2 linked regions of the Xenopus tropicalis genome follow. The protein of the gene in region 1 interacts with the protein of each later gene in a pairwise test. Links are inferred from orthologs where the notes say so. Each region holds a gene or a part of one and is shown in the gene's direction. Other genes may lie near its edges.

The links. The genes of interacting proteins can lie anywhere in the genome.
Region 2: the proteins of retreg3 (region 1) and map1lc3a interact in binary tests that used the Homo sapiens proteins (3 or more experiments, as listed by UniProt). The link is inferred for Xenopus tropicalis from reciprocal best matches to the Homo sapiens genes RETREG3 and MAP1LC3A.

What each region holds. Positions count from the first base shown.
Region 1 is NC_030686.2:29,106,126-29,112,493, forward strand, and holds part of retreg3 (reticulophagy regulator 3), read left to right. Parts: intron 1-1,051; coding exon 1,052-1,158; intron 1,159-2,478; coding exon 2,479-2,509; intron 2,510-3,341; coding exon 3,342-3,468; intron 3,469-4,133; coding exon 4,134-4,218; intron 4,219-4,650; coding exon 4,651-4,788; intron 4,789-5,295; coding exon 5,296-5,366; intron 5,367-5,804; coding exon 5,805-5,937; intron 5,938-6,252; coding exon 6,253-6,368. UniProt on the Homo sapiens protein: Endoplasmic reticulum (ER)-anchored autophagy regulator which exists in an inactive state under basal conditions but is activated following cellular stress.
Region 2 is NC_030686.2:41,163,169-41,169,336, reverse strand, and holds the end of map1lc3a (microtubule-associated proteins 1A/1B light chain 3A), read left to right. Parts: intron 1-1,495; coding exon 1,496-1,602; intron 1,603-2,550; coding exon 2,551-2,713; 3' UTR 2,714-4,141; downstream 4,142-6,168. UniProt on the Homo sapiens protein: Ubiquitin-like modifier involved in formation of autophagosomal vacuoles (autophagosomes). While LC3s are involved in elongation of the phagophore membrane, the GABARAP/GATE-16 subfamily is essential for a later stage in autophagosome maturation.

The sequences.
Region 1 (6,368 bases):
AAGCAGCTGTACTTGCCAGAAATGTTAAATATTTTAAAGAAAACCCATGAGTTCTTTTTTAATAAGTGAGAAGATACATGGCTACTAGTGTGACTGCTGTGATTGCCAGGTTAGAGTCTGGCAGAAATGCTTTGGATCAACTGAAATGGAGGGGAGGTGAAAGAAATCAAGTAAATGCCCCACAGAGAGAGACTGGGGCTGTATATGTAGTGTATGTATATGTAGTGTATGTATATGTAGTGCTGACACTGTAAGTGATGAGGTGGCAGAGACAGAGGTGATGTGGATACTGTTTCAAGGAGATGAGGTGGCAGTAGGAAACAGTAAACATTCTGTTTCATGGAGGAAACGTGATTGGTAAAAAGCAAAATATATAACTTCATAGTTGGGATAAAGCGGCAGTTGACGCTGAAGTATTTTGCAAAAGTAAGGGGGCACCAGTAGAAGACTTTGCAGAGGGCATTTGATCTTGTGCAAAGGGTTAACTATCATATACATAAGGAGTCATCAACCTTGTATTTCAGACATATATGGTGGGTCTGACAGATCTAAGGTCGCATTGGAAGAACAACTTCTGTTGTAATTTGGGGGATTCAATTCATTTTCTTTCCTTTTTGAACTTAATGCATGTGCCAGTTATGCACTGCCATAACCTTGCCAGAAATATTGCTAAAGAGCTGGGCCTAAAGCAAAGTGATATTCACCGGGGGTGCTAGAGTTTTTGCAACCCCCACTAAATAATAATCTCTAATCTTACAAGGGGTACTATTCCTGCCTTGCAATGCCATCAATGGCCCTTCCGATTCGCTTGGGTGTCCTGAGCATTGCATATGTCCCACAGAGTAAAAATCCGGACTGCAACTTTAAAGTTGAAATTATTATTTTCCTGTGCATGTGTGTTATCGGGACAGTTCAGATCTCTGGGACAACAGGAATAATGTGGGTGCTGCCGGAACAGTGCCCCCAGCTGATGCATTTTTCATTGTGGTGAAAATGTAAAAAGTGCAAAATAATTTGGTTATTCAACTATCTTTTTTTTATTTACTTGCAGGTTTTTTGCCCTGACCTCTCTCAGAATCATATTTTTGGTAGCATTTGGACTAATGATAATCATTTGTGCAGATCAGTGGAAGAACAAACTGTGGCCTGAACTGGGAGGTAAGGAGAATTCTTGATATTATCTTCCCTTGCTGTCACTGAAAACTTGATATACTTCTATCTATACAAGATTCCACGTGTATATATGCAACTCTTCTTTCCTATATGAGCTCTCACATACTCTTTACTGGCCAGGGCAAAACTGAAAGCAGTATTCTGCAAAGCCGTAGTTCTAATTGCAGTCTTCCAGTGAGCTTATCTTCTCACAGCAAAGCCAGCCCTGGGCTATAAAGGCTAAGATATGGATAAGTCCCCATATTTCCTGCATAAGTATCATGCAAATAAACACAGGTCTCTTGTTGGTGCTGCTTAGAAACTTTCTTTCTGATGCTTTCAGCATGATTACATACTTTATCAGAGTTATCTGTTATGAACATGAAACGCTATCGGAGCACACATATTGGTCAGGACTAAATCGAAAGCCATATGATTATGCCATTTAGCTTAACAAACAGGTCTGCTTATAGCAAATCAGCCCCTGGGCAACAAAGAAAAACTAAATACATACAGTTTTTATAATGTCCTTTCACTGGAACCAAGGTTTCCTGAAGTTTGCCACAGTACAATAGTTCTCCAACATCCATGGGGTGGTTATCATGGTTAAACCTTGATATAGACAAGATTTCAGACTTGTCTATACATACCAATTAACAAAGGGGTGACCATTCCTAAAGAATTTGGAAAGTGTTAAGGTGGCCATACACGTGGCGATCCGACGATGTTTCGTACGACCATCGGTCGCACGAAACATCGTAAGATCCGCCACACACCATTCAGGGCTGAATCGGCAGGTAAGGAGGTAGAAACAATAGGATTTCTACCTCCTTTTGCCGATTCAGCTCTGAAGGGAGAATTTTGGTCAGGCGCCTTCTATGGCGCCCGATCAAAATTTTCAAACTTGTCCGATCGGCGAGTCGTCCGATATCGGCAGCTTCCTGCGATATCGGTCGACTCGCCGACATGCCATACACGCACCGATTATCGTACGAAACGAGGTTTCGTACGATAATATCGGTGCGTGTATGGCCACCTTTAGTCTTCTTACAAGGTGAATTGTCTTTTAAGGGGACACGTTTAGTTAAGCCCATGGCATGTAAACATAGGTTAGATCATGAGCAATACTTAATGCAGACCCTTCTAGCAAAACCCCATTAAGGACTTTCACTGGTAAGACTTTTCTTTGTTCCATTGCACCACCTACCTACCAATTCTGCCCCTGTAAAGAGACAGTACAGAATATATAATATACCTGGTGCTTTAAAAGATACAATATTCAAATTAGTTAATTAGTTCTCACTATTTCTGTTTGTGTTTTTTCAGCAGCAAGAGCCAGTGAACTGGAGAATGAAAGGTGAGATAGTTATACCTTACTGCCTTATTGCTTTCTTGGCCATACCAGTTCTTCTAGAACTAGCCACACCTTACCTACCTTAGTTATGAGAAAGTGAGAGTTGTAGTTCTATGCCACCCCTAGCAGATGCTTCTGGGGTCTGACTGAGGTTGATGCCAGACAGCTGAAACATTTATGCTTTTTATGTTCAGCTCCGTTTTGCTTTATCTCTTTTATACTACTACATGCTATATATAATAGTAATATATACATACTATATATAATATGTCACATAGATTTGTGGAGACCTATTATGAGAGAACAGGACATCAGATTAGACTGCATAGACATTTAGAGCGAGAAGACGTGATTTCTTATTGCTTTTGGTGACACCAGGAAGAATTATTACTTATATCCCCAGACAACTAACATATAAATGTGTATATTCAATTATTTACCGTAGCCCTATAATATTAAATTTAAAATTTTCCATTTTTTGTTTGGCTGTTTGATTTGTGCCTGTGGCATTGCACATGCTCCGTGTGCTCTGGTTGTTTGACATTATCAAAAAATTAGCAGAAAAGGAGGTTCAGGGGCATCCAGACATCCACATAATTCACATGCACTGGTTTCTATACTGCCATGTAAATCTGAGCCTTGTACTGTGCATATACTGTATATTGTTCCTAAGATCATGTAACTGACTGCAAGCCAGAACATGTGATCCTTGGGCATAAAGCTGAAAACATAAGATCTAGCATCTCTAGACTATTTCTTTAACTTTTAGGTCTTTTTGTTCTACTTACTACATGTTAAAAGATTTGTTTTCATGATGAGTTTTGGTGTGTTTCAGCTGGGGCTATGTGCATCCAAGGCTGCTCAGCGTCCCAGAGCTGTGCTATCATGCAGCTGATACATGGGTCAGTGTCTACAACTTTTTAAGGAATCTTCTGCTCTTCAAAACTGAAAATCCGGGCAAGGTAATTCAAATTTTGTGTACTATTCTGAACGCCTCAAACTATTTTACCTGGTTTTATATGGACAAATGACCTGTTTCTCTAAGGCTGTTGAAATGGTGATTCCCCCCACCCCACAGGCATCTATCAAAATAATTAAAATATGGTTTCTTGCATCCAAAAGAATTATAGAGTTTTGTAGGCTTTCAAGCCAACCAAACAAGAAGGCCATTGAGGTGGTAGGAAGAATTGGGCTCAGCAATTGGATCACCATAGAGGTATTTGCATCACTGCATCCAGAATCCGATGCAGTCGGTCGTTGCCCAGTGGAATTTTTATAGATATCTGGCAGATTGTCAGTCAGATGTTGTTTAGGAAGGGTGTCATTTTGGCCCATATACACAGACCAGTAATTGTTAGTTTGCAATTTGAAGAGTCGTTATCCATTATAGGCATGTGTGACCTGCTTTTATGGAATGTTGTCCATATCATTCTAATATAGTGGCTGCTTTAGGACTTACACCCAAACACACTACTAGTGTGTGTACTGACTACTATTTGATATAAATAAATAAGGTAGACCAACCAAGAAGAGGTTTGGGCCAAAACTGATGGATGAATGCCTCTTATGTTGCATGTATTTGTCGACTGATGTAAACCTATTGCTTGTTGTGTCTTTTCATATACAGTTTTGCCTTTTGGCCTGCAGCTTTCTGACTTTCCTAGCTGTTCTTGGTGGATACATTCCTGGTGTTGTGCTGTCATATTTGCTTTGTAAGTTGAATATTTTCATTTGTATTAATGGTCATTTGTACCAAAAAGCATATTTACAGTAAGATCTGGCGAACAAGGAGTTCATCCCTACATTATACTAATTACAAACCCTTTACTTGAACATGAACCTTTCAGTAGTTTAGAAAATCCTATTAAAACAGGTAAAACCAAATAACAATATGTACTTCTGCTTTCTGCTCTCGCTTCTGGCTTGACCTACTGTTCAGTCTAGAGGTAGTCCTGACAGAGGTTCATGTTGAATGTGATAAAAATATATTTCACAAGCTTTTTGAATACTGAAATCTCTGTTTTTCAAACATCAGACATATAACAGTAGATAGGTATGCCATCAGTGCCTTACCCTGTTGGGCAAGAAAAAACATTCTTCTCATTATGCTGTTTGCTTTGTTTTTTTTTTTTGCCACCCCACAGTACTTTTTCTTCTGCTTTGGCCTCTTGCTATATATCACCAGCTGGGGCGGCGTATATACCAGAAGCTGGAGCCAGCCCTGCAGCGGCTAGACTTCAGTGTGCGTGGCTATATGATGTCCAAGTATAAGGAAAGGCAAAGTAAGTGGCTATGATAAAACCCTTCTAGCTTGGATATTGTGTGAAGTATGCTTGTTTATTTCAGTTTGCAGTAAAGATTTTGATTTATGGACCTATTAATGTAAGACATACGACCAGTTGATTAAGTTTACTTTAAATAGGAGTGTGTATTGTCCTTTTAACTGCTGCTAACTGAAGTAACCAAGATTTGGGACTGAGGCCTATCTAAAGCTGCCTGCACAGTTTAGTGGGTCATTAGCAGCAGCCCCACTAAATCTCACAGATACAGCATTATTAAGGTAGGTTTGGAAAGACCAGATGTACCAGACACTGCATAGGTGGCTATATTAACAGTTGCTCAGCACAATGCTGCTCTGGCGTACTCATAAGTGTGTGCTAGTGAATGGATGGGTTTAACTCATATATTATTGGCTACCTTATATTTTGTTTTCTAAATATATACCACTTGCACATATTTCTGCTTATTTTATTCATGTGAAAAACTGCTCTCTATATTTCTAATTTCAGAGCATAATCGTGCCCTTCCTCCAACTGATGCTAGTGACAGTGAAGAAGAGCTTGCAGCATTTTGTCCTTCGGTAAAAGTACAATTTTCTAAATAAAAAAAAATTATACAGTTGTCATTATTATCCTTACTAGTAGGGATAGGTTAGCACATTGCTGTTATACATCTTGTAGCCCAATGAACCAACCATACGCTGGTGTCCCCTTCTGTAACCACACAGAACCCAGTTTAGAGGGAACATTGCCTGACCCACCTCCAGCCTATGTCCTACTCTCATAACTATAAGTGTGTTATTGTTTGGCCAAAGGGACTGTTTGTATGTGTATGAATCCATTGGGATTAATACATATGTAAATACAGTAGACAGTGTCTAGGGAAAAAAACAACATTTATTGCAGATCTTGAGTAACTATGGCCTTTAGCTGAAGTTTCTGAAAGCCCTGTGTTATAATGGAGATATTTTCATTGTGTATTTTTATTAATAATTCTCCATTGCGTGTTTGATTTCCAGCTGGATGATTCAGCAGTAGCTAAAGAACTGACCATTTCCGACTCCGAGCATTCAGATGCAGAAGTTTCCTTCACTGAAAATGGGACATTCAACTTATCCAGGGGCCAAACACCTCTTACAGAAGGTTCTGAAGGTAAAAAAACAAGCAAAGATTTATGTCTCCTCTCTGTATATGAGAATATTCACAGCAGAACTTGCAAAATAGCAGAATTTGTGTTAAAGCGCCCGATGCTTTGGGTGTGAAATACAGAATATGCTGCCTAGTAACGAACAATGCTGATAATGCTCACAGCGGCTGGCTCTAGCAGATTGCACTCACTTTAGTTGTTAGGGTAACACCCTGGTCTTTAGCAACCAATGAACTGCTGGTTTTATTATTTTTAATTTACTACTGAATAGATCCCTACACATATTTACAAATAGTTTTAAACTGTTTAATCCTTTACAGATTTGGACCGCCACAGCGATCCAGAGGAGTCATTTGCTCGTGATCTCCCTGACTTTCCTTCGATAAACCCAGATGCAACGGGAATAGAAGATGATGATGAAACTAGCATTGGCATA
Region 2 (6,168 bases), about 12 Mb from region 1:
AGACCCACCTCTGGCCGTTCATTGGCTGATGTACCTAGCATGTGTGCGTGTCATTGGTTTGTGTGTGAGTGCAGTGTCTAAAATGGCAGTGTTTTCTATATGGCACATACTGTTAGAAATATATATAATATAGATTTTTGATATGAAATGCTCCTATAACTAAAGACTGGCTTATGTGATATATTTGCGTAGCAGTGTTTAGGGCTTTAATGTACTTTTTTTGATTAGCTGTAAGCACTTTGGGCGTCCAGTTATATACCTGTCAAGTATGTGTTTATACAGAGCCTTTCAGCAACAATGTTCAGGGGAATTTGTGGCATACATAAGCTGGAATTTATATATATATATATATATATATATATATATATATATATATATATAATCATATATATCATATAAAAAAGACCAGCAACACTGGGATTTAAATGTACTTTTTTGATTTGCACAGAAATCCCAGTGTTGCTGGTCTTTTTAATATGATGTGTTATATTTTTACTGTGCACCTGGGTATTTAATTAAAGTGGTGAGCCACCCTTCTGGTAATATATACAGGAATGGGATCCCTTATGCAGAAACCCGATATCCAGAAAGCTCCGAATTACGGAAAGGCCGTCACCCATAGACTCCATTTTAATCAAATAATTCAGATTTTTAAAATTGATTTCCTTTTTCTCTGTAAAAATAAAACAGTGCTTTGTATTTTATCCCAACTAAGATATAAATAATCTCTACTGGATACAAAATAATCCTATTGGGTTTAATTAATGTTTTATTGATTTTTTTTAGTAGACTTAAGGTATGAAGATCCAAATTACTAAAAGACCCCTAATCCGGAATATCCTTGGTCCCGAGCATTCTGGATAATGGGTCCTATACCTGTATATATAATATAAAGTATGTATGGGCTGACATATATGCACCGAAGTGCATAACCCCTGAATGGTTGTACTGTATATGTAAATATCTTTTTCAGAAAATTTATTGAAGGTTGGTTGTCCCTAGTATATTGGAAAGAATTTGTTTCTGTTTCTCAGGGTGGAGATGAAGAGACCTTGGTTAAATCTAATCACAGAATCTAATTAAAAGGAAAGAGGATAAGAACACTGTGTCTTACATGTGAATGTGGTTTCTAAGGGTACAGAACAAGCAAAACAGTATGATGACATAGCTATTTGTTAAAAGAACCTTCTTTTTCATTATATATATATATATATATATATATATATATATATATATATATATATATAGCAAGAAAAAAGAGCTGCACTCACCAGGACTTGGCAAAAATATAGTAAGTTTATTTAAGCAAAGAGATCCAACGTTTCGAGCACTAACTGTGCTCTTCCTCAGGGAAAAAAATATATATATATGTTTACATGTTAGCTGCCATATTGCCAGTTGCGTGTAGCCTCACAGGTTTTGAATGGCAGAAAGATAAGGTTGTCTGGTCTGTGGTTGGGGGGGGTATTCTAAGTGGTCTCTTTTGTTGTTTCAGGTTATTATAGAGCGATACAAGGGGGAGAAGCAGCTGCCTGTGTTGGATAAAACAAAATTCCTTGTTCCAGATCATGTGAATATGAGTGAACTAGTGAAAATCATAAGGTAAACCATTCTTCCTATTATGTATATTTCTATATATATATATATATATATATATATAACTAACTCTTGTAATTGCTCCATTTAACTTTCCATATATCTCATTTTATTTCTTATAACTCCTCCTATTGCGCCATATACCCTTCCTTATAACTCCTCCTGTTGCTACATATAACCCTCCCTCTAACTCCTCCTATTGCTCCATATACCCCTCCCTATAACTCCTCCTATTGCTCCATATACCCCTCCCTATAACTCCTCCTATTGCTCCATATACCCCTCCCTATAACTCCTCCTATTGCTCAATATATCCCTCCTTATTACTCCTCCTATTGCTCCATATAACCCTCCCTATTACTCCTCCTATTGCTCCATGTAACCCTCCTTATAACTCCTCCTATTGCTCCATATATCCCTCCTTATTACTCCTCCTATTGCTCCATATAACCCTCCTTATTACTCCTCCTATTGCTCCATATAACCCTCCCTATTACTCCTCCTATTGCTCCATATAACCCTCCTTATAACTCCTCCTATTGCTCCATATACCCCACCCTATAACTCCTCCTATTGCTCCATATACCCCTCCCTTTAACTCCTCCTATTTCTCCATATACCCCTCCCTATAACTCCTCCTATTGCTCCATATACCCCTCCCTATAACTCCTCCTATTGCTCCATATACCCCTCCCTATAACTCCTCCTATTGCTCCATATACCCCTCCCTATAACTCCTCCTATTGCTCCATATAACCCTACCTATACCTTTGTTCTATATAACCCACCTTGTAACTCCCTGGATACTTCTACCTTGTAAGGAGCAGGTCTGCCTCATCCTGTATACATGCCCTCACCGTTGCACATCCTTGTAGTTATATAACAGAGCTATTGCCAGTTCTTCTCTCAGTCAGGGAGCAAATTGCCTGATAATTGCTTCCCTCCCTTTGCCAGACGCAGGCTGCAATTGAACCCCACCCAGGCCTTCTTCCTGCTTGTTAACCAGCACAGCATGGTGAGTGTCTCCACCCCAATACTGGATATCTACGAACAGGAGAAGGATGAGGACGGCTTCCTGTACATGGTGTATGCCTCGCAGGAAACATTCGGCCACTGATGTCCTGAGGATGCACAATCGCTCGCACGCCAACACACATCCAACACGGCTATGCACAGACACACTCTTGCATATTGACACTTACATGTGATTTTAACCACACTTCTTGCCTGTAGATACCAACAAATCATTCTTGCACAAGTACTGCCTCGCACAAATACTGTTACACGAGCATTCCACCATGCTTTGGACGCTTGTTAATGCAATGTGTGTATGCGCACACTTATTTCTGTGCACACATTCATACCCCCCATGCCTGTATGTAAGATTTCATGCTTGCACGCAATCAACCTTCCGCTGCTATGCAGAATCTCCTGGTTACACACACGCAGTAAAAATGGGGTGCCCCATGTGTAACACACTTTCCTGCAACAAAGGTTTGCCCTTTTGTGTAACTGTAGATAGAGTTTTTGTGGCTCATATTTGTGAGGTTGCAAACAGGGGCACAAATTATAGAAATGTGGACATTTAGGGGCCCGAGGACCACTGAAAGTACAAAGGGTATTAATATCGGCGTTCCATCACAAAATGGAGCCCATAATTTTATCATTTGGGTCTATATTGTCTGGTCTCATCAGTGGAGCTTAGGGAGTAAAGGGGACAATAAACCTTTGAGGTTAACCCTTTGTTCAAAAAACTGCAGCACTCACAGATATCCACTACAGTTTCCTGCTTTACGGTTTATCAGGATTTCCAGTGTGTAATCATGGAAGCACTTTAAGAGCTCCTTCTGTTGTCCAGAGGAATTCACTGCGGTCACAAGTAATAACAACATGGCAGCTTTTTAGTATAACATCAAACCAGTGCTGGCCAATGGGCTTACTCACGTGGTTTACTGTTTCTTTTTTAGGGGGGCAAAATATATACCTGCTGTTAGGCCCACTGTTATTATGCCTCCGCTTGCACTTCTTGTAGCCGCTGGTCGTTGGCCATAGCAACAACACCATTAACTTTCGCTATTTGTAGATTTTAGTAAACAGCAAGATACAAAAGAGAAAAAAAAAATCAGTTCTCTCGAAAATGGAGATACTTGTGTGTAACCGATTCTTTCTACCTGTACGATTTATTTTATTCTTTTAATCTGCCAAATTCTGGCATAAATCTGATTTTCTTGAGTGTTATAGTGATTGATAATCATGAATACGGAGTGACTAGGGGGGGTCGGGGGGGGGTTGTTAATAGCTGTACAGAGTTAGACTTCAGTTTTCTGTCTCGCTAAAGTCTCCTTTTTCTGTTTTTAGTTATTTTAATCTTTTTGTTGTTCTCCTGATGGAACGTAAAACGGTGAGAGGGTAAATGAGACTTCCCCTCTCTATACTGCAATGAGAAAATGTACAAAAAAAAACTATATAAATATAAAAAGCTGATGTGTGTATATACTGATACATTTCATGTGTATAAATAAGAATAAAAAAAATATTGAAAGAATTCCGTTTGCTGCTTGTGATATGAATCAGCCTTGGATAATGGATATGAGGGTTATGTAGGATGCAGATCAGTAAAGCTGGATATAGACTGCATATATCTGCTGAGCAGATCTGGGCCAACGATCGTATGGCGGGTCCTAAGGCTAATGTGCTCCTTATTGGATGGGAAAATCAAATTTGCCCAATAGAAATCTGATTTTCGGGCAGATAGCGGTTTGAAAGGCCCATTGGTGGCCAAGTTTTATCAGCCCATGTATGGCCAGCTAAACCCATAGCAACCAATCGGACATCTGTTTTATAATTCTAACCATTTTAGAGTAATAAAAGCAGACATGCGGTTGGTTTCAGTGGGTTAACATGCCTCTACATCGTGCCTGTGATGTCACACGCATCGCTGTTGCGGAAGTGGCCCACGACCGCCTACTGCCCAGATCCGTCACCGGTTTTCCTATGGGAATCAGCAGCAGAGGCTGGGGGCATTTTTTTTGTTTTAAATCCCCCCAAAAAAATATAGGCACCCAAGGACCGCCCACCCTAGGCACTGGCCCTTGGGTGCCTTATTATAAATATGATTTATTATAAATAAACACTGTATCCCATAGCTCAGTGCAGTTAAAATGATGATGTCATACAGTGAAGTCTATGAAGACTTTAAGCAGACTTTGGGCCTTAAATATCTTTTGGAGGGCCACATCCAGCCCATAGCCCTCCAGTTGGACTGCCCTGCCATATCTAATAGAGTTTTTGGCGAGGTCCAAATGATCGATTTACAATGACAGGAAAAGGCCCCTCAGAGCAAAGAACACATCAATAAGTCAATGAAGTCGCCGATCTGATGGGAAAATCAAACCTTCCTAATCGACATCTGCCCAATTTATGGTCAGATATAGGTCAGGGGTCCCCATACACAGGCAGAGAAGCTGCTGAATGGGTCTGAAGGACCTGAATCAGCAGCTTAACTCAGACCTCTATATCTGTACCCCCTACTACCTGCTCCAAGCATCCCAGATAATAGAAGTTCTTCTATTAGCAAAGGCAGTGTCAAATATGATAAGCAATTTTGTTGGCTCATGAAAAAACTGCCATGGTCACGTTACTATTTACCCTCCATAAATTGTAGGTTCTGTTAATAGTCTAACAGGACGTTCATTACAGCAGGCAATTAACGTGCATGTCATTTTTTAAGTATTATGTTGCTTAACTGGATAACCTGGTTCAGCCTAATACCTGAACTCTATAGCTTCCACCTTTATGTTTCAAGATGTCAGTATTATTTGCCTTCAGGCATTGGGGCACGCTGAGATTTGTAGTTCAGCAAGTTCAGGCTTTCTCATGTAGATGTTCAGCCCTGTGTTTATGCTCATCGTTGGGATTCCGTGAAGAGATGTAATGAGGCCTGTGCTTCTAAAGAAAAAAAAAAACCCATAAGGACGGTAAACATGTCCTTATGGGCTACAAGAAGCCGTTTCCAGCTTCTTTATTTGTCCCACCCTGAATGGAATCAATGGATATATTCCTTCTGCGAATCACGTAGCTGTCAGATCCTGTTCTGGAGCCCCAGCCAATCTTTTATCAATGTTTCTATTTATAGGCTTAATTGCCTCTCACATTCATTGCTTTTCATCTAAAGCGATTGCTAAGAGGGAATTCTTTACACACAGAATGTAACTTTGACTCATATGTACAGTCACAGAATTACTGGATGTGGGCTGAGTAGCTTCAGGGGGCACTGCTAAAATAAAGACTGTATGTATGAGTGAATGACAAGCCTTTTACTGGGGATTTTAGGCCGGAGGGAGTAAGGGGGTGGAATGTGGGTGTGCGTAGAGCTCTCTTACGTAGATATCCCTGAAATGCCATCTAGTAAGTCAGCCCATTGCTTCCTGACCTAAATGAGCCTGGCACTGAAAGTGTTTAAGCATAAGGATGTTAGAAGTCTCTTCAGCCCCACATGTCCTTAAGGTCCCCCATACAAGGGCCGATTCTAGCTGCCGATATCGGCCTCTTAGACCGATTTGGCAGCTAATC